Linked DNA regions of Coturnix japonica. The protein of the gene in region 1 purifies or fractionates together with the protein of each later gene. This does not show direct contact. Links are inferred from orthologs where the notes say so. Each region holds a gene or a part of one and is shown in the gene's direction. Other genes may lie near its edges. The genes, in order: BCAR1 and BCAR3.

The links.
Region 2: the proteins of BCAR1 (region 1) and BCAR3 purify together in Homo sapiens (co-immunoprecipitation; 4 studies listed by BioGRID and IntAct, counting the BioPlex papers as one, with this or other methods). This does not show direct contact. The link is inferred for Coturnix japonica from reciprocal best matches to the Homo sapiens genes BCAR1 and BCAR3.

What each region holds. Positions count from the first base shown.
Region 1 is NC_029526.1:678,780-689,074, forward strand, and holds BCAR1 (breast cancer anti-estrogen resistance protein 1), read left to right. Parts: upstream 1-4,030; 5' UTR 4,031-4,062; coding exon 4,063-5,415; intron 5,416-5,948; coding exon 5,949-6,098; intron 6,099-6,244; coding exon 6,245-6,352; intron 6,353-6,545; coding exon 6,546-7,694; intron 7,695-7,879; coding exon 7,880-7,969; intron 7,970-8,205; coding exon 8,206-8,721; 3' UTR 8,722-9,297; downstream 9,298-10,295. Other genes in the region: CFDP1 (craniofacial development protein 1), read left to right, coding at 793-883. UniProt on the Homo sapiens protein: Docking protein which plays a central coordinating role for tyrosine kinase-based signaling related to cell adhesion. Implicated in induction of cell migration and cell branching. Involved in the BCAR3-mediated inhibition of TGFB signaling.
Region 2 is NC_029523.1:11,959,639-11,969,945, forward strand, and holds the start of BCAR3 (breast cancer anti-estrogen resistance protein 3), read left to right. Parts: upstream 1-3,472; 5' UTR 3,473-3,493; coding exon 3,494-3,683; intron 3,684-10,197; coding exon 10,198-10,307. UniProt on the Homo sapiens protein: Acts as an adapter protein downstream of several growth factor receptors to promote cell proliferation, migration, and redistribution of actin fibers.

The sequences.
Region 1 (10,295 bases):
CCTCTCCTGTCCTGCCCCCAGGCACAGGTCACTCGTGGGGACAACAGGAAGCAGCACTCCCCCAACGCCTTTCCTGAGCCGCTGTGCTGCAGGGGTCTCAGCACACGTTCCACTCGTCTTGCCTGGTTCAGGTGGCCAGAGCCTCCTCCAAGGGCAGCGCATGGTCCTGGTGGCACCGAGTGGTGCCGCTGAGCTGGGCATGGCAGCAAGGAGCTGACCCACTTCTGTCAGCACAGGGAGGGCTGAGATGTGAGCAGGGTTGCTGCCGGGGACCAACGCAGGGAGCTCAGCTGCTGACACAAATTGGGATGAATGGCAGGGCATGGCAATGCTGATCCTTCCTCAGGGTCGTGCTCGCAGGCAGGAATGAGCCAGACACAGCGGCTCGCGTGCCTTGTGTTGAGCTGGGCCTGAGCACAATGACCTTGTGGTGACAGCCCAGTGTTTGCCACTGCAGAACAAATACGAAACAATTGTGATGATTCAATTACCGCTCCTGTTTTGAATTGCAATTTCGCTCCCTCTGTAGGTTAATTAGTAGCACAGCCCCGACAGCCCCGGGCTGTCCGTGGCAAGGGTTTGCAGCAAAGTGCATTAAAATTCAGCTGCACGGCATAAACAAGCAGCAAGGTGCTTTTTGTGCTCGCTTCCTTCCTTGCAGTGCTTAGTAGATGCCTGGTGCATGGAGCGGGAGGGCAGAGGCAGCCACCCCTTCCCTCTGCCCGTCCCTTTGGGTCCCCGTGTTCCAGCCATAGGTGCTGCTAACACCATCTCTGCCTCTGCTCCCCACAGGTACATCGAGAGGAAGGCGTTCCTGGAGCGCGTGGACCACAGGCAGTTTGAGATTGAGCGTGACATCAGACTGAGCAGGATGAAGCCCTGAGGGCCGGGGATGGCCGTGGGGTCCCACTGGCCCTGTGCCCCTGCCTGGCCACCGGGCACAGAACATATTCTCTACCCAAGCCTGCACATCCCAGCAGGTTTTTCCTTTTACTGTAATGTTTGGAGAGGGTGCTTGTCAGTGGGCAGGGTGTGCTGCAAGGGTCCCATCACCTGGCAGCTCACGGGAGCAGCCCCATGGTGCCGATCCTTTGCCACCGCTGGGTGCTGCCGTGCTTGCACGCTGACCAGAATCCAGCTCTGCTGACATGTGTGGTGGTGAGGGGCTGCAGGAAGGCTTTGTGGCTGCTGCACGTGCACAGGCTGCGGGGCTGGAGCCCTGCTCCCCGCTCTGCCAGCCCTGCAGCCTCCCCTGCCCCTCCTCGCTCTTGCCCAGACAAAGCTGAACTGTCTGCACTTGTCTGCGGGGTCTGACGGTGCTGGGGGTTTTGAAGCAAGCCGATGAAGAAATCCTCCCTTGTTTGCTCCATCGAGAAGCTGAGAGCAGCTGCAGCAGGCAGGCCAGCCCGGGGTCTGTTCACGTGAATAAAGTATTCCATCCTGGTGCTCTGTGTGCTCACAGCCTGGCTGCTCTGGGAAGCAGAGGGGCAGAGAAACTGAGGGTTGCTGTTATAAACGCATGACCATGATTGTGGAAATCACTGCGTGGTTCCTGCGTGCCCATCGTCCTCCCATCTGTCCCCATGGGATGCTGCAGGGCAGGGGCACACACAGCCATCCCCTGCACTGTTCCACACCAGCACCAGCCTCGTCCTTGCTGCTGGCGTTGGCCCTGTGCCTCAGCCCTGAGCCTGGGCTGAGCTCCGGGCTCACATGTCGGCTGCTGAGTCAGCCCTTGTGCTGGGGATGCGCTGAGAATGGACACGAACAAAACACCACGTGCTCAGGGAGCCGCAGCCCTTGTCCGTGTTACACACAGGGTGAGCCCTTATCAACCTGCTTCAACTGAAATGGGATGGCACTAAAGTGGGGCTGCTGGGATGGACATCTGCACCTCCCGACACTTCCAGGCCAGTGGCTTCGTACAGCAGGGAATGGCTGCACTTCTGACCCCCATCCCAGGCCACCCCCATGCTGTCCCGCTGCACTCCGGGCAGGGTGGAGGACAGCGGGTGGTGGCAGCTCCAGTTCCAGCGCAGGACTCAGCTCCGCTGTCCTCTGCCAGCTCTCCCAGCGTCCTGCATGTTTCCTCGCTTGGATCATGTGTTTCTTGCCTCCCTTTCCTGAAGATGAAGAGTGATTTACAGGGCTCCAGAAAACACAGCTTGGCTGCCTAGGAACTGGGGGAGAAAAAACTGGGGGAGGAAAAAAAGGGATAAAGCGTTGGAGAGAAGCCCTCTGTTGGCTATTGGCACCACCTGCCCGCAGAGGGCCTGGCCCACAGCCCCCAACTGCATCCCCTTGAATGGCCGCCGTGTCCCCGTGGGCTGGGAGCAGTTTGGGCACTGCTGAACGGCCCCTTGTGCTCGGCCCCAAACAAGGCTGCCATTGTGTGCGCCTGCCCCACGGCTCCGCTGTGGGGTCCCGTGTGGGATCCATCCCATCCTCCCCATTGTGCGGCTGCAGAGAACGGGAACGTGGCTGTTTTCTCCCCGGACGAGCTGTGGGTCGTGGCAGGACATGGGCAGCCCTTTGGGCTGTATCTGCAGCCTGACAAAACATCTCTGCCCCTGGAAAGGCGAGGGGATAAAGCCCCGTTGTGATCCTGTTGGGTCCCGTGATATTACAAGCCAACGGGAATGTCCTCATTATTTCCCCAATATTGAAGTCTAATAAATCCCCGGCTGCCTTACAGGATTTATTTATCCGTTCATTGCTAGGAGACTCAGTGCCGTGTAATCCTATTGCTGCTGCGGGGGGCGGGAGGCAGCTTTCCCAAGGATGGAGCCGCGAGGAAGCAGCCAAAAGCCAGAAGCCAAAAGCTGTGTGGGTCCGTGTGGGTCCATGTGGGTCCGTGTGGGTCCGTGTGGGTCCATGCGGGGCCTCTGCTCCACCGGGCAGCTTCAGCCCCACGCAGGGCACAGTGCCACCCCTCCCACATGTGATGGTCCCACAGAGCTGTGCCCCACTGTGTGCTGGGCTCACTGACATGTCATGGGATCATTGAATCGCAGAATGGTTCGAGTGGGAAGGATCCTAAAGGCGTCCTGCACTGAGCAGGGACACTCACAGCTCCATCAGTGCTCACAGCCCCATTCTCTGACCTTGGCTGTGTGCAGGGATGGGGCAGCACCAGCTCTGTGTGCAGCCTGTGCCACTGCCTCACCGCCCTGACTGTAAAGAACCTCTAACTTAGCTCCGGTCTGAAGCTCCCTCTGTTAGTTTGAAGCCATTTCTTGTGCCGTCAGTGAGCAGCCCGTCCCCATACACACGGCACACAGCTCCGGGGTCCCGCAGCCTTTAGTTTCCGTTTGGGCACCGACCTCCCGGGGCTGCTGCAGCACGGGGCGCTCCCCCGGGCACGTCCCGGCTGTGTTGCCGCCCGTTGAGGTGCCCGTGCCCGGGGCTGGCCCCGCAATCACCGCCGAGCGGAAGCCGCCGAGTTCCGCCTGCGGTCTGCGGACGATACCGCAGCTCCGCCGGCCCCGAGGGAGCGGACGAACGGCTGCGGGGCGGCATCGCGGGCTCGACGGGCAGCGCCCGACCGGCCTCGTGCCTCCCACGGGCAGGAAGAGCCCTACAAGGGCCGGGGAGCCCCGACGGGCGGCGATAGGACCGCGGCCCCGGCCCCGCGCCCCCCCCCCCCCCCCCCCCCCCCCCCCCCCCCCCCCCCCCCCCCCCCCCCCCCCCCCCCCCCCCCCCCCCCCCCCCCCCCCCCCCCCCCCCCCCCCCCGCTCCCCTCCCCTGCCGGCCCCCAGCGCGGCCCCGCTCCCTCCCGCTCCTCCCGCCGCAGCGCCGCCTCCCGTCGGTGCGTCGCGGCCCATGGGCGGGGCGGGGCGGTCGGGCCCGTGCTGGCACGGCGCTGGAATGATCCCTCCGGCGCGGCCGCCGCCGCCGCCACCGCCATCCCGGTTCCGGCCGCCCGCCGCGGGCCGCGCCTCTCGGACACGCAGTAGCGCCGCTCGTTGAGCGCCGCGGGGCCGCGCCCGCCAGGCGAAGATGAACTACCTGGTGAGCGGGGTCACCTTGCGGGACGGAGCGGGGGGCGGCGGGGGCGGGCGGATGGGGCCGGGCCGGGAGCGGCGGTCGGAGCGGATCCGTGATCAGCCGGGGACCGAGCGCCGGGAGCGGGGCCCGTCGGGTGGGGAAGGGCCGGACGGGGCCTCCGGGACCGAGCGCGGCCGTCACCGACCCGACCCGACCCAGCCCCCTCCGGCCACGGGGTCGGCGCTGCCCGCCCGGTCCGGGCACGGCTCGTCCCGCGGGGGGCGGGGGGCGCTGCCATTGCGGGGCTGCGCAGCGCTGCCGGCACCGCGGGATCCACCCGAGCGCGGCGGCAGGAGGAAGGACAGCGGGGGAGGGAGGGGGCACCGAGCGGGGCAACGCGGCATCACCGGCGGGACGGGCCGGCAGCGGGACGGACACACGGACACGGACACACACACGCGTGTCCCTGTGCCCGCCCGGCGGCCGGGGGGGAATTCTCGGTGCGGGCTGAGTCACCTCCATGGCACTTCCTCCCCGGCGGGAAGGGGAGGGAAAGGCAGAGGAGGTCCCCGACACCGGGAGGCGCGGGGGGTCCGGCCCCGTCCCGGCGCCGGCTCCGGGACGGGTGGGTTGAACCGGGACGAGGAGGAGCAGCGCCGGGGCCGCGTCGGGTGCCGGGCGCCCTTGGTGCCGCCGAGTCCATCCGCGATGAGTCCCGACCCGGCCCGTTGCGGGGCTCTCTTGCAGAACGTGCTGGCCAAAGCGCTGTACGACAATGTGGCCGAGTCCCCGGACGAGCTCTCCTTCCGCAAAGGCGACATCATGACGGTGCTGGAGCGCAACACGCAGGGCCTGGACGGCTGGTGGCTCTGCTCGCTGCACGGCCGGCAGGGCATCGTGCCGGGGAACCGCCTCAAGATCCTGGTGGGGATGTACGACAAGAAGCAGCAGCAGCAGCAGCAGGCGGCCGGGCCGGGGCAGGGCCAGGCACCGCCAGCACCACAGCCCACGTTGCCGTACCACCACCAAGGGGGGTACACGCCGCTGTCGCCCGCCTCGCAGTACACCGCCATGCACCCCTCCTACGCGCCACAAGGGGACAACGTCTACTTGATGCCGGTTCCTGGCAAGGGGCAGCAGGGCCTGTACTCGGGCTCGGCACCCGCTGGACAGTTTCCCCCGGCTCCGGCCAAGCAGCCCCCATCCTACCCCAAGCAAACGCCGCCCCACGGCTTCCCCAGCGCCGGGCAGGACATCTACCAGGTGCCGCCGTCCCTGAGCCAGGCGGTGGACGCTTTCCCTGCGGGCTCTGCCAGCCCCCCCCAGGACATTTACCAGGTCCCTCCCTCGGCTCAGGCTCAAGACATCTACCAAGTGCCCCCATCTTTGGATGCGAGGAGCTGGGAAGGGCCCAAGCCCTCTGGAAAGGTAGGATGGGGGTCCAGGTACGGCGGTGGGTTGATGCTGTGGGGCTCCAGTCTGTTGTGGGGTTATGGAGGGGGGGAGTGAAGCGCTTTTGGCTGAGATGAGCTGCGTTTCCCTGGAAGATCCAGTGGGAAAAAGGGGACACTGAGCACCGTGCCTCGTGGGCAGGGCACCCCATTGATTGCGAGCATCCCACAACCTCCTATGGCTGCCGCACCACATTGCACCGAGATGCGGGTGGGGGTCTGGGCTCGTCCTCCATCGCTGGGTCCCTCGGTGCCACAATTAACCTTCAGGTCTCCATTCTCATCGCACAGGGCGGCCGTGCGGCCGGGCTTTGTCTGTAGCCGAGGCTGGCTGCTATAAATAACCGGTGATCTCATCTCCGTCCCTCCAGCGTCACTGCACGGAGCGGTGACAGCTCCAGGCCGGACGGGGAGCGCCCTCGCGTGGGCACCCACCGCACGGTGCTCCCAGATGGGCTCGGGGGGCAGCAGCGGGGGGTGCGCCAGGCTCAGCCCTGCCCTCTCTCGTAGGTGCTGCTGCCCACCCGCGTGGGGCAGGCGTACGTCTATGACTCCCCCAAGGCTGAGAAGGATGAATACGACTTTCCCCGCCACCTGCTCTCCTCGGGCTCACAGGAGATCTACGATGTGCCACCTGCACGCGGTGCATTACCCAGCCAGGTCAGCAGGGATGTGGGGCTGCATGTGGGGCTGTGGGGTGATGGGCTGCAGGGATGCGGCACCCAGTGCTGGGCTGAGCCGTGGTCTCCACTGTGTGTGTGCTGGGGCCACTCTCCTGCCCCTCACACCATCCCATCTCTTCCCAGCAGGTCTATGACACTCCCCCCATGGCGGTCAAGGGTCCCAATGGGCAGGACCCAGGGCAGGAGATCTACGACGTGCCCCCCAGCGTGGAGAAGAACCTGCACCAAACCGTAAGTGCCGCAGGGGAAGCTCATGCACCAAAAGAGACACGTGAGGGTGGTGGTGCTGCAGGATTGCGCTGTGCACCTCTCCTTCCACGAGCCCACTGCACGCCCAGAGCTGTTCTTATGGGCACAGGGGAGCGGGGCTGGTGTGCATGTGTGTCTCCAGCTGCACTGACACTACGTGGTGGTGCCCTTGCAGGTATATGACGTGCCACCCTCCGTCAGCAAGGACGTGCCAGACGGCCCTGTGCGGGAGGAGACGTACGACGTGCCCCCCGCCTTCTCCAAGCAGAAAGCCTTCGAGCCCCCCCGCCACCCCCCGGTGCTCTCCCAGCAGGATTCCTACCTGCCAGAGGATGTCTACGACGTGCCACCAGCGGCTGGGAAAGCCGCCCCCGAGCCCTCGTTGTCCCACGAGATCTATGACGTGCCTCCCAGCCTCAAGAAGCTGGGGGGGTCGGCCTTCCCCTTGCAGGAGGTGTACGATGTGCCGCGGGACCTGCACGCCCCCAGCAAGGGCTCGATGGACATGGAGGGTGAGTACATCTACGATGTCCCACCACAGGTGGACCGCGAGGCCAAGGCAGCTGACACCAAGCGTCTCTCGGCCTCCAGCACGGGCAGCACCCGCAGCAACATCTCCACCTCCTCACTGGACACTGTGCCCGTAAAGGAGCCGGCCAAAGGAGCCGGCAGGGAGTTCTCCCTGGACTTGGATGCTGCCATGGAGATGCTGGCCAAGCTCCAGCTCGGCGTCAGCGGTGCCGTCTCCAGCCTCATGTCCTTCATCAGCACCAACTGGCGCAGCCCCGAGCACATGGAAGCCAATGCTGCCGGCATCCGCCTGGCAGCCGAGGGTGTTCAAACAGCCCTCAGGGAGCTGCTGGAGTTTGCCCGGGGGGCAGTGGGCAACGCTGCCCAGGCCTCGGACCGCTCACTGTACGCCAAGCTCAGCAAGCAGCTGCAGAAGATGGAGGAGGTCTACCAGGCCCTGGGGCGGCACAGCCAGGCGCTGGATGCATGTCACTGGGCTCCCAGTGCCTTGGTGGCTGGCAAACCGGGCACGGACGACTTGGAGCTGTTCGTCATGTACTCGCGTGGTGTGCCCGATGACACCAAGCAGCTCGCCTCCTTCCTGCATGGCAATGCTTCTCTGCTCTTCAAACGGACAAAGCCAGCGCCAGAGGGCAATGGCCACGGGCCCACGCACCCCTCTGACAAGGCCAGCAGCATCCAGTCACGGCCCCTGCCCTCCCCACCCAAGCTGCTGGCACAGGAGTCCCCCGAGGGTCCCTACGAGAACCACGAGAGCGGCTGGATGGAGGATTATGACTACGTGCACCTCCAGGTGGGTGCGGGCTGGGGGCACCCTGTGGGTGACGTGGGTGGGATTTCTGTCTCCTCATCTGGGTCTTGCTTTTCCCCTCCTGTTATGGCTGTAGGAACTGAGGGCATCCTGGTGCAGGGCTGGGGGGCTCCATCCTGATAGGGCTTGTGGTTTTCCCCCTTCTCACCCTCCTTCCTTTCTTTCAGGGCAAGGAGGAGTTTGAGAAGACGCAGAAGGAGCTGCTGGAGAAAGGCAACATTATCCGGCAGAGCAAGGACCAGTTGGAGCACCAGCAGGTAATGGGGCTGGGGGATAAGCATGGCTCAGTGGGGACCCTGGGGTGGGGAGGGCAGTAGGGTTGGGCTCCTGTTCCCCATTCCCACAGCCGTGAGCTCCCCATGGCTCTGTCCGGCTCTTCTCTGATGCCAGATAGGATCGGGGCGCTGTCCCACGTGGCATCCCCTGGGGTGCAGCCATCGCTGTGGGGCTCGGTGGCCACCCTGCCTGTCCTCACACCCATCTCTCCCCATAGCTGAAGCAGTTTGAGCGGCTGGAGCAGGAGGTGACGCGCCCCATTGACAACGACCTGTCCAACTGGAGCCCTCCCCAGCACTACGGCCCTGTACGGGGCGGTGGTGCCCTGTGTGCCGCCGACCACCAGCTGCTCCTCTTCTACCTGGAGCAGTGCGAGGCCAACCTCACCACGCTCACCAATGCTATTGACGCCTTCTTCACCGCTGTCAGCACCAACCAGCCCCCAAAAATCTTCGTGGCCCACAGCAAGTTCATCATCCTCAGCGCCCACAAGCTCGTCTTCATCGGCGACACACTGTCCCGCCAGGCCAAGGCGCAGGACGTGCGGCACAAGGTGACACACTACAGCAACCTCCTGTGCGAGATGCTCAAGGAGATCGTGGTGAGCACCAAAGCGGCTGCGCTGCACTACCCGTCACCTGCCGCCTCCAAGGACATGGTGGAGCGCGTCAAGGACCTTGCCAACAGCACGCAGCAGTTCAGGAGGGTGCTGGGCCAGCTGGCTGCCATGTGATGGCCCTGTGCTGTTCCCCCTCCCATTGCCCTCTGCCCAGCGTAACAGACCTGTACATAGAGACTCACACAGGGGTGAGGGGCCGCAGCTGTCATCCCCCTCCCCTCTCATCCTCTCGACATTGGTTTCAGAGCCATGCCCGCAGTGCCCAGGGTTGCAATCTCTCCCTTCTGTGCTCGTTCCCCTGCTCCAGTTGAAGTGGGGCTGGCAGTGGGGCTGCTCCAGTGTCCTGGGGTGATGCTGTGGGCTCCATCGGCACATCGGCCATCTGTTGTAGTGTTGTGGCACAGACAGAGCCAGGCAAGCAGCAGCAGTAGGGAGATGAAGAGTGCTGTCCTGAGTGACAAGGGAAGGGGTGAGGGGCAGCCGGGGTGGGAGGAGGGGCTTGAACCTTTGCATTTCAAGTCTTGGTTTTGCTGTACCAACTGTAATTGAAATGCAAACCGACATTGGTGCCTTCTGAACACTGGGGAAGCTTCCTCCTTCCTCACAGTTCCCGGAGCCATGGAGTTGCAGCCGCCCCCAAAACTCAACCCCCTGGTCCCACAGCAGCATAAAGATTTGCCTAGAAATTCCCCTGGCACCTGGCTGTGTGTGTGCGGTGCTGGGATCGGGCGCCCTGTGTGTGCAACTGGGGTGTCCTTTCCCCCAAAAGCAGCGGTGCTGGAGCATGGCTGGGGTGCCACGTGCTTTATGGCAAAGCAATAACATGGGTTTGTTCATAGCATCTTGATGTGGAACAGGATGTGGCACTGGCTGTGGGCACAAGCAGCGGTGAAGATGCAGTGCTGCACAGCCCACAGCCACCCACACTTTGCTGTGCTCCTCACACCTACACCTGGGTTGCAGTGTAACTGCTGTGCAGATGGAGGCAGTGCCAGCACAGCAGGTGCCGTGGTAGCCCTGGGCCGTGGGCACCCAGAGCCCAGCTGTGGGCTCACAGGGCTTGATGCAGTGCCCCAGCATGTATCTGGTGCTCGGGACAGCCCCAACCCTGTGCACCCACCTCCTGCCCAATTCCTATGTGCCACGCCTCGGCTCCCACGGTGATTCCCCAGCCCTGTTCCTGTGTGCCAAAGTGCTGATCACCACCCTCAGCCGAGACACCACTGTGTCCTGCACCATAGGGACCACAGCACCTATGAGGCCCGATCCCACATCCCATACATCCCTGTCCCTACCCAATCCTTGCTCATCTTTTGCCCAAACCTGTCCCACCAGCCCTCCCATCCCTGTCCCATTTCCACCCAGGCCCTCTCTGTGTAACCATCCCCATCCCGAACTCATTCCTATTCCATGCATCCCATTTAGCCCTGTATTATTCCAGAGGTTCCCATGGCTGCCATGCTGCAGTGGGGCATCCACCTGGGGTCGACAATGGGGTGAGGGAACCTGATATGCCCCGGAGTCAGCAGCACTGCCAGCACATGGCAGCCCTGGGGCTGGGAACCCCTGGGACCCCTCACCGACCCCTCATGGGTCCTTCATAGGACCTTTGAGCCCCCCCGAGTCCCACCCTTTCTGGCTGCAGCCCGACATTCCCAGGCAGCCCCAGCGCACGCAGTGGTGGGGCC
Region 2 (10,307 bases), on another chromosome or scaffold:
CACTACTAGGAGGAAAAAGGAAAATGGACCCTGTGGTAAAAAGGAGCTTATAAAACCTTATATAGCTTTTTTTCTGATATTTTCTTCCAGACTGTCATTTGCCAAAAGTGATCAGCAACAAGTGGTTTAAGTGCAGTTTTAACTTTATAATTCAGACTTCTGAAACTGGTCTGTCTAATCTAAACCAACACAAGTTGTTTGACATAATTTTCAGTGCTAAACTGAAGGTTGGAAGTGGTGCTGTTGAACATGTTATTCTCATAGAATATGTGCAATCATTTATTTTTTCAGTGCAGAATGGGTTTACTTAATAATTGGTAGTTGTTGAAGTTGATAATCTTTCAATTTTTATTTTCTCCGACAAGGGCTGTATTTTACTCTCCTTTTCTTTTTGCTTCTAAGAGTGTCTGATATTAGCTGACTCATGGCACGTAGAATTCAGCAGCAGGCAGCTATAAAAACTTCTTGATTTCCTCACCAACAGTTATGTTGAACATTATTTTTTCCATGTGGCATCTGTGGGAGTTGAGGGCATGTAACATTTTGCTTGTTTGGATTGTTTCTCTTCTAAGACAAGTCCAGAGTACAAACTTGCTTTAGCTTTTGTTCATTAAGAAGTTAAGAACAGCTATGCATCCCCTGTATTCATCTTACATAGTTAATCTGGGTTCTATCTTTTCAGCTGAACAGCAGCACTTTTAAAGTAGATAGATTTCTTCCCAGTTATTTTAGGGCTGTAATTCTGATGTTTAAGGTTAAACTGAAAAGTTCCAGTGAATCTCTGCATCATCTCTTTTTCTAACTGTGAGCTAAACACACTCTGTAAACGATCTCTTGTGAACCTCATGTACCTCAAGGAAGTACTCAGTTCCTAGCACAGTTAAGGTGAACAACCTACAACAGCACAGTTCTTGGACTGTCTCAGCTGTCAGTTCTGTTCCTCCTCAATTACTTGTTTATGTTCGTATCGATGTCTTTGCATTAGGTGAAAATATACAACTGTACATAGTCCTTTCCTTCTGAAAGCAGAAGTCAGTGGTGACCATATGTGCCCACAGCTGCATGTGATGTGTGGTCAACAGTGTTCTGCGCACCATTGTTTTCTTAGCCTCCCCCATCTGATATCGTGAAGTACGGTGATTCACCACTAGAAGTTTTGCAGCAAGGTGACGAGCAGACAACATGACGTTATGTAGATAAACAGATGAGTAAGGGCTATGACAGGTCAGAATACTGATAGAAAGAGCTGGCAGAGGTGTTGTAGTTGCTTCAGGGCACTAGTGCTTCCAGAGTTCTAATAACATCTCAATAAACCCATTTCTGAAGTAGATTTAATACAGTGTTAATGCACCAAAAAATGACAACAAGGACTCTAATCTAGCTTGATTCCAATTAACTCTCTAGTTTACTGTAGTAACTCACAGTAACGTAATGTGGTACTATGAATTCTTCATTCTTACAGGTTGCAGATAAATCTTCTTTAAAATATGTGCACATTGTGTACAGTGTTGTACATAAAGGAAAAGGCCAGTGTTCATTTTGATTTGAAGGCAAAGTCAACTCTTTGGAAAAGGATGTAATGACTCATGCAAGAGTAATCACAGTCTATGCAGTGCTGCCCAGCTACCAGTTCCATTACTGAGCACTCAGTCATGTTACTAAGGAAATTGCAACTTCTTTTCTAAGTCTTATTCATAAAAGGTGACAACAAACCACGACATTACTTCCTATGTAATGGCAGTGCCTGAAAGTTTCCTGGAGTTGTAGCACTGTTTTCTGTGGAGACCATCTTACATGGTAACTGATCTGAATTGTTTGTGTGATGTTAGATATTTTTCACTGAACTGTGGAACATGTGGAGAAGCAAGATCTCTCCTGTGAAAATATTTATCACTGTGATATGTGTTACAAAAATGTAAGTACAGGTCATACAGAAAGTACATGGCTCACAATATTGGAAGTATAATCCAGATCCCTCAACTTCTCTTTCTGGTTTTGTTTTGTTTTTTTTTTTTGCCCCAGTTTTGGTTTTCATGAACAGGAGAAATGAAATGAAGAAAATGTGTGCAAGAGATCTCCTGAAACAGAGGAATTGTACAGCCAATGGGAATCAAGTATTTAATGTCAGAATCAATAAGATGCTTAGTTAGGCAGATAAATATTTGCTTCTGAAATGTTAATGCCAATAGGTTGGCTATTAAGATATTTCTGAACTGTTGGATGAAGAGGGAAAGTGTCATCAAAATTATTAAACATGTATCTTCTATTTTTGAAGCATTTTTTCCTTACGAGCCCTGTGTTTCAAGAAGCTATTCTGAATCACTGTAATCAGCCACTGAATGCCAAGAATGAACTCCCAGCTAGTGCTTATCAAGGCCTCTGGCTTTAAAGTAAAGAGCTCAACCAATTGCATAAATGAAAATGAAAGGTATTGGCAGCTAAGGGTATTTCCTGCTGGCTGGCTCACAGTGATGGGCAGCAAGGCAAAGCAGTTAGTGTGATAGCCTTGCTTCTGTGTCGGGCATTTTATTAGGGCTCCCAGAAGCAATATTAGGGAAGATTGAGGCAAACGGTAGAATGCCAGATGTACACAGACCATGGCTGAATTGAAATAGGCAAAAAATGGGATTATCTGGGGAAAGGAGATGTAAGGCTTGAGTGTGTATCTCAGAGGTGATGTTAAAAACGCAGGGGGGAGCGGGGTGGATGTTTGGCTGCAGAGTCAGACCGTGCTGTTCTTGGTAGCAAAGAGGGAACTAGCTCAGCAGTTCTGGTTCGGAGGAAAGAGGGCGGTGAGTTTGCTGCTCTCAGCTGGTCTGCTAGCGCACGATCCCTCACAGATGTTTGAGCCTTTGTTCTGTCCGCCAACCTGTTGCCCAGATAACTGCTTGTAACGTGGTGGGAGGAGGGGGAAGTCTGCTGATGTAAGGAGTTGGCGAATGGCATGTATGCAATGCTCTTTGAATTGTCCGTCAGCAGGGCGGATTTGGGAAGCCGTTAATTCTAGCTCTGCAGTGCTAATTTGGGACAGAAATTACGGAAGGCAAGTTCTTGAAGCCGAGGAAAAAGGAGCAGCGAGAGGTCACTGTGTGTACGGGGCTGTGTGTCCCGGCAGCAAACCGAGGGGCGGGGCGTCGTAACTCAGCGCCCCCGCTGCCCGTGCTGCTCACAGCGCCCGCGGTCCGCGCTGTGCCGGACTCACTCCCGCACGGCCGGGCTCGGGCGGCGCCGCGCAGCCCCGCAGGTGAGTGGCACCGGGGTCGGGCTGTGCGCTGGGGTGAGGGCGGCAGTCACGGAACGCAGGAACCAAGGTCCGCGGCCGGGGTATAAGGCGCCGTCTGTGCTTGCCGACGGGTGAGCGATAAGGAGTTCGGAGGGCTGAGGTTGTCACCTTTGCTTTAGTTATCGCGATCCGCTCTTCTTCGGGGCAAGTTGGTGCAAGCGTTCGCTGCGGCTTCCGCCGCGGCAGGGCGAAACCCTGGGCCCATCGAGAATGCCCCGGGCGGTTACTGCGGGCGCCCCGGCCGCCCCCTCGCCCCAGCAGTCCGGCGGGCCCGGGGGGAGACCGCCCGGCAGGGAGCGGAGCTGCAGCCGGTCTCCGGAAAGCCGAGCCAGAACGGGAGCGATCAGACCGGCAGCTGCTGGGACGGCGTTTTCCTTCGGCTTGGAGAACGACGAGCAGGGTTTGTGCGAGAGTTTATGTGCCCCCGAGCTCCCGCTCCCCGGCCCGGCCGCGTGCTGTACGGGAACCGGCGGCCTGCGGGATCGGCGCCCCTGGAAATGCAGCGGGTGCTCGCAGGTGGACAGATCGATGAGCTGGGGGTACCGAGCTGTTCCGTAGGGAGAAAGGAAATACTGCCGCCGTCTTTTTTGGTCGGTTAAAGAGGAGCTTGTATGTAAGCGCTGCTTTCTGTCCAAATTTGCAGTGTAGGTAAGGTGGTTGTTCCAAATCACGAAGCACATACTTACTGCTGAAAAAAACGTTGAACTATTTAATTTGAAGTTAGTGTAGGATTTTCTTTTACTAAAATCGTGGGAGTACAACAGCAGGAAAATAATAAATTACTTCCTATGTTAGAGGAGGGTCAAAAGTTGTGTTTCGAAGCATTAGCTGAGCAGCACTTAAATCGGACTGTAACCTTAGTGAACTCTGTTTCATCCAGCTAAATGGAGATAAAATGTTCACTGCAAGTTAAGGCTTCAGCAGTACAGAGCTAACTGGTTGGGTACCGAAGCTTATAAGATTATAGCATATGCTAAATGATGAGATCTACTTGTTTATTGATCCCTCTTCACTGATTGCTTTTTATGGCTTTTTTATTATTATTGTTGTTATTATTTTTTAATATATAAGGGCATTTTAAGTATGAAAACTCAGAAAGAAAAGCATGGGTTTTATCTCTTTGTTTAATCTCAAAACAGAGCAAATTCAGAGATAACTTGTCCTGGCCTACATGCTTTCTATTGCTTCAGAATGAGAACAGTTTGGTAACTCCCCAGGACCCTTTGGAAGCACTGACCTGTCTTTAATCCTGTGTGGAGTTCCTGATGTTTGACAGACTTGCATGTTTTCTGATAGCAGCTTAAAGCCTTTGTACTATTGTGTATGCTTTCTCAATCTACTTCTGCTTATCGTAAGTTCTTGAGCCTTCATATTCTTCTCAAAGTCCTGTGACCCATTGCAGCTACTGCGTAAGTTTATCTTAACAAAAACCCATAAAATATAGATTGTAGCCATCTGGGGAGAAGAAAAAGTCTTTTCTTGTTTCTTTTTATACTAGTGAAGATGACTCTATATTGCTTCTCAGCAAATAATTAACACAAAATCTGTGTAGCATGTGCAAACATACCAGGTAACTCAACAGTAAGATTAAAGTTCTGTATCTGTCTGTATTTACTATTACTGCTTTGTAGGGTTGGAGGGAAGGTAGAAGACTGTTGTAAGGAAATCTGCTGTGTCAGAATTAACTGGGGTTCTTATGAAAGTTGTCTCCATCTCATAAAGACCTGAGATCATAACACAGTTCTTTGATTTGGATATACTAAACCATTTTCTTGCCCTCTTAGCTTTGTAGTGCGCATGATGATAAAGAAGTGGTAAGACTGAGCAAAGCGGCTGATGGTGATATGATAACACCTAGTCTAGACTTCAGAAAGTCTGAAGTATTGGTAGTTCTCCCTGTTAGAAAATTCGTACTTCTCTCAGAATTGTATTGATCTAATATCTAAATCTGGTTTGGATATAATTCAGAGTTTTAAGACAGCTTGATTGAGTCTGATTCAGAGCTTGGAAATTGCTTTTCCAGTTTCCATATACAGCCTTGGACTGTTGGCTAAGCCATTCATAAATCTCTGACACCAAACTAGAGATTTCCTTCATGTTTCCTCCTATAGGGTGTGAAATCAAGGTAGCAGCCAATGGCACTGGTTCTGTTTCCTTGTGGGATGGAAAGGCTGTCTACTTTTGCACCCATGTCAAAGCTGAGTGACACTTCAGTCTATGAATTGCATCCAAATTTTTTTTATGAAGTCTGAACCAGAAAGTTTGTATGAGGGCTGCTCTAACAGCAATGCCTGCTATTTTATTGTGTTTGCCCACTGTGGCAGAGGCGTGTGTTGGTTGTAGAGGTTGAAGTTTCTCACCAATATTCCATTACATGTTTTTGCCATGGGACAGATGGCAGCAAGGGGGCGGTCAGACAGAATGGCATCTGATATGGAAGTGTACGTGAAGCAAAGGTGTGTCAACTTTTCCACTCTGTGTGGAAGAAATGGCATCCACTGACATTCATTGCCACTTACTGAATGTTTATGGACACCATGCGATGGATGTGAGCACAATGAGACAGTGGGTGGTGTGTTTCAGTAGTGACAACAGCAACAGTGGGTCATCTCCACTGATGCAGACCACAGCATGCAGCTTCTTGTTCATCACCAGCAAAAATGCATGGCTAGTGGTAGTGACTGTGTTGAAAAATAGTGTTTCGTAGCTGAGAATTTCTTTATAGGATAGTTATCGTGTTTGTTGTATCTGTTGTGGTGTCCTTGAAAATAAATAGGAAGCATTATTTTCAGAGCAGCATATATATTTGCATTCCAAGAGGATTTTTGTGTGTAATTTTGGAGAAAGCAAAGTTTGTTTTATTCTTCATGTCTTTTTTTTTTTCTTTTTTGTTTTTTTTTCTTTTTTGTTTTGAGCAATGTGAAGAGCGCCCATCCTGCTGGGTTAGAGCTCTGTTCATGTTTGATCTTGCCCATCAGATATGTATGTCATTCTGTGTGCAATCTCATAAGGTTTTGTAAGGGCCATGTTGATTCTAAAGATAACTTAATTTGTATTCCCCTTTCCCCCAGTTGTTACAAAAAGACAAGTTAGAAGTTAGCTGGAAACACTTAATTCCCTCCAATTTTCTGAACATAGAATCTAGTTCGATTCCCTCATACGTTCCTCAATTACAGACTGAAAAAGGGAAATACCATTCTCCATTTAAAAAAACAAACAACAAAAAACTGCCTTTTTTGTTGTTGTTTAACAGTTACTGTTAAGAAATAAACTGTATGTAGCTAGAGGGAACCTGCATGACTCGTGAAGCACTCTGTTTGGTTAAATGCTACATTTTGACAAATAGGAATTTGTTCATCTAAGTTACTTTTGGCCTGTCCTTCTGCTATTATTTCTACCATTTCCATTATTGAGTGCATGATTGCAGATGTTCTAAGTGCTGTGTCTCTTAGAACCTCTTCAGTTTTTCTTCCTATCTCTAGTCAAACAAAGACAGACATTCTTTGAATCATATGCTCAAGTATTTGAGACATTTCAGATTCTTCAGCTGAAGAGCTTCCCTCCTTGCATTGCTTACATTAAGTACAATAAAAACATGGATAGTTTGGCAAGACTTATCAAGTTAGTTGCTGTAATTTCAGTCGCCATTTGTTAAGAATACATAGTATAAGAGCAAGTAGGCTTTTGTTTTGGGTTGGTTTTTTCCTTTTTTGAGGGGAGTATTCCTTGACATATCAAAGCTTCTGTGCACACACAATTTTGGCTAAGTGTCCTACAAGTTCTTAATTGTATTTCTTAGGTTGGGAACTTCAACTTGATTACTCAAAAAATGTAAAAAAAAATAAATAAAAAATGTGAATTTGAGAATTAGGTGTTGAATATGAGAAATGTAGAATGTTACTGAGGGCGTGAGTTTTATAAGAGGTACAATGATTAGGGCATAACTGACAGAAGTATGGTTGGTTTTTCCATTTTAAGGAGAGCCTGAGAAATTAAAAGAAAAATGGTGTATTTCAGAGGGTCATCATTTATTTGGTAAATATTGAATTGGAAACTTACTGAGTTGCTATAATTATCCTGAGATTGGGTTAGGAGAGGGAATCATTGTCTTTCTTTGTGAATCCTCAAACAGGATCCGTAAAAGTTGTTGAGAGTGTATTGCCATTGTAAGCATCGGCTCACCTGGTGCTGTTAAATTGAAGCTTTCTTTGGTTAAACTTACACCTACTCAGTTTTACTACCAATTGATATGAAATATGTTTCATTTCAGCTTAGTGGAAGCGTGCAGAAAAGCCTAAGCAAATTGCTTCTGATTAGGTGATCTACACTTACATAGTCAAACCTCAGAGTTTTGAATGTGTTTTTTAATAAAGCAATAAGAAAATATGATTGTTAAGTACAGAATCTCAGCGCAAAAAGGAAAATAGCATCGGATTTTGAAATATAAGTGACTTGGCCTCCATTTTTCCATTCCTTTATAAGTGATATTTGCTCTTTTACATTAAGCACACCTTATTAAGGTTGAGGTTTCAAATGATTGTGAGACTTCTAAGAAGCTTAATTTTTTTTTTTTTTTTAATTGTTTTACCTGCTTGTTGCTTGAGATCCATGTTATTATTCTTCCATGATAATAAAGCTGAGCTTACTGGAAAGGAGCTCTGTCAGTTTGTTCTAGTTAGGAAACTGTAGCTTTGTGGTAAACATTTACATTTTAGAGCTTCTTATCTCTGGACCAGTTGTTTTTTTTTAGAATATTTGTAATACAAATATCTGTATTTGCAAAGGCCTTGCAGCACTTTGTTTTATTTTGAAATTGATCATGCAATATTATTAGTACTGACAATCAGAAACCATATCTTCAAGGCACTTGATAAATGAAGAGGTAACAGTATTTCACAACAAGGGCCCATAGGAAAATTTATTAAGGACTTTTGTGAGTGTGTGGCTTTCTTTCTTTCAAGTTTTGAGTATTATTTGGATCTATGTAACTAACATACACATTTCATTTTAACTTCTCAGCTCTTTTTCTAGTCTTTGCAGCAAGAAACCTGACCAAAGTCAAACAGATACTCAGAACTGCCATTTACAGAGGCTTTTCTGCTAGAGTACATAGCAGCTGTGCTGGAAGCCTTGACAAATTAAAGATTAAAAAAATCATAGCCTAAATATCATTTATCATAATGATCATCATATTCAAATATTATCCTATTTATTGTAGGACTTTTGATATGAGAGAAGTGGGATGGAATTTGAGATGGAATTCTGGGAACCTGTGAATTTGCAACACAGCTGGAAGAAAATAGAATAAATTTGAGATCAGTTTTAGTGTTACTGTAAAACCAAGCCTGTTACAGCAACCATTGAGCAGAAGTAACTATAGTATCAATGCAGCCTCACTTTCTTAGTACCTATGGTGCTCAGGCTGGAGGAGTGAGCAGGACTATAGACCCAGCTCTGATTCTGTTGCAACACCTGTGCATTTCCCAAAACCAGAGGAATTCTCATGTAGCTGGAAGCTGTCTTCCAGGCTGCTAGGCCTTTGAGGTACTACTCTTTGTTTTGTTTAGTTTCCTGACATGAAACTAGGCCAAGTCAAAACAGATTCTCTCAGTCAGCTAATGCAGAAAATCTTTCTTGCCTTCAGTTTATCAGTCTGTGCTGCTCTTGTGGTTATTCCAGTTTGCCTAGGAGACACCTGGTTGGCTACCGCCTGGATCAAATAGCGTGGGGTTGGTTGACCTTGTGTCATTTGTTCCATAGAATGGCATTAGTTGGCTAGTATACCTGGATAGGACAAAGCATCTCGACTTCTATAATGTAATACTATGAAGTGAGTGTGAGGTAGGTGGGGTTGTGTGTGCTTTTGTTGTTGTTTTTTCCTTTTGATGAAGCGGGATCCATTAGTGTGTCTGAAGTGTTTGCCTCACAAGGTTTTTTGCTCATGATAACAGAAAGACCTGTACTGTACTGCAGGCTATAACTGATTGAAAAAGAGACTGACAGCTATGTAAATCCCTATTGTCAACAACCATTTGAGCCAGCAGGCTGTGCATGCTGCAGAAGAGAATTCCAGTAATCTGTTCCTGCCATTATCTCTAGAGTAGAGCCCTTTCGTTTTCAGTTAGAAATGTGTGACTGGTTCTTGTCTTGATTTATTACTTGAGCAAGACTGTCCAGAAAGATTTTTCCTAACTGTGCCATCCACTGGATTTAGAAATGTACTTTTCCAAACCAAGCTGTTGTGTCCCTTATTTTTTGTCAGAATGCTCTTAAAACTTTTGCTTTTTGTTAATTATTTTAAGTTGGTGCCCAAGTTCTCCGATGATATAAAGAAAAAAAAATTTTAAAAAAGTTGGTACATAAAAGTTAATAAACATGTGTTTGACACATGCAGTTGAGTGGAATGTGACTTGATTATAGTACAGGCTACGCCTTGAAGGAGATAACTGTGTTAAAGCAAAGTTCAGTTCAGTTCTAGGTGCTGTATAGTTGGAATAATACAAGTGTATAGTTGTAATTACAGAGTAAATAGCCAGAGGGTATCTAAGAAAAGACTCACCAGTGCTGAGGCTTTCAGTTGAAATGGATGCTCACCAATGTTGAGGCTCACTACAAAAACTTCACGAAGGAGTGATCTCCAGGAGGAGATGCTACCTTGGTAGTGGTCAGTCCTTAAATGAGATCTAGGAGAGGTGGAGTTAAGCTTCACCCCTTCCAGGAGCACAGCTGAATTACCTTCACCCATGCTCCCACAGCTGACTCGTTGCTTGTCTCAGGTGGTTTATCAGAGGTTCAGGCTGTGATCAACAGTTTCCTTTACAGGTGCTTTTGTTAATCACAATATTTAATTTCCATTAAAATGGGTCTTCAATTCTTACTGATTTTATTATTATTATTATTTTTTTCTCCTCCAGAATCAAGAATGATAGCCGCAGGGAAATTTGCAAGTCTTCCCAGAAATGTCCCAGTGAACCATCAGTTCTCATTAGCGTCGTCCATGGACCTTTTGACCACCAAACCTTCA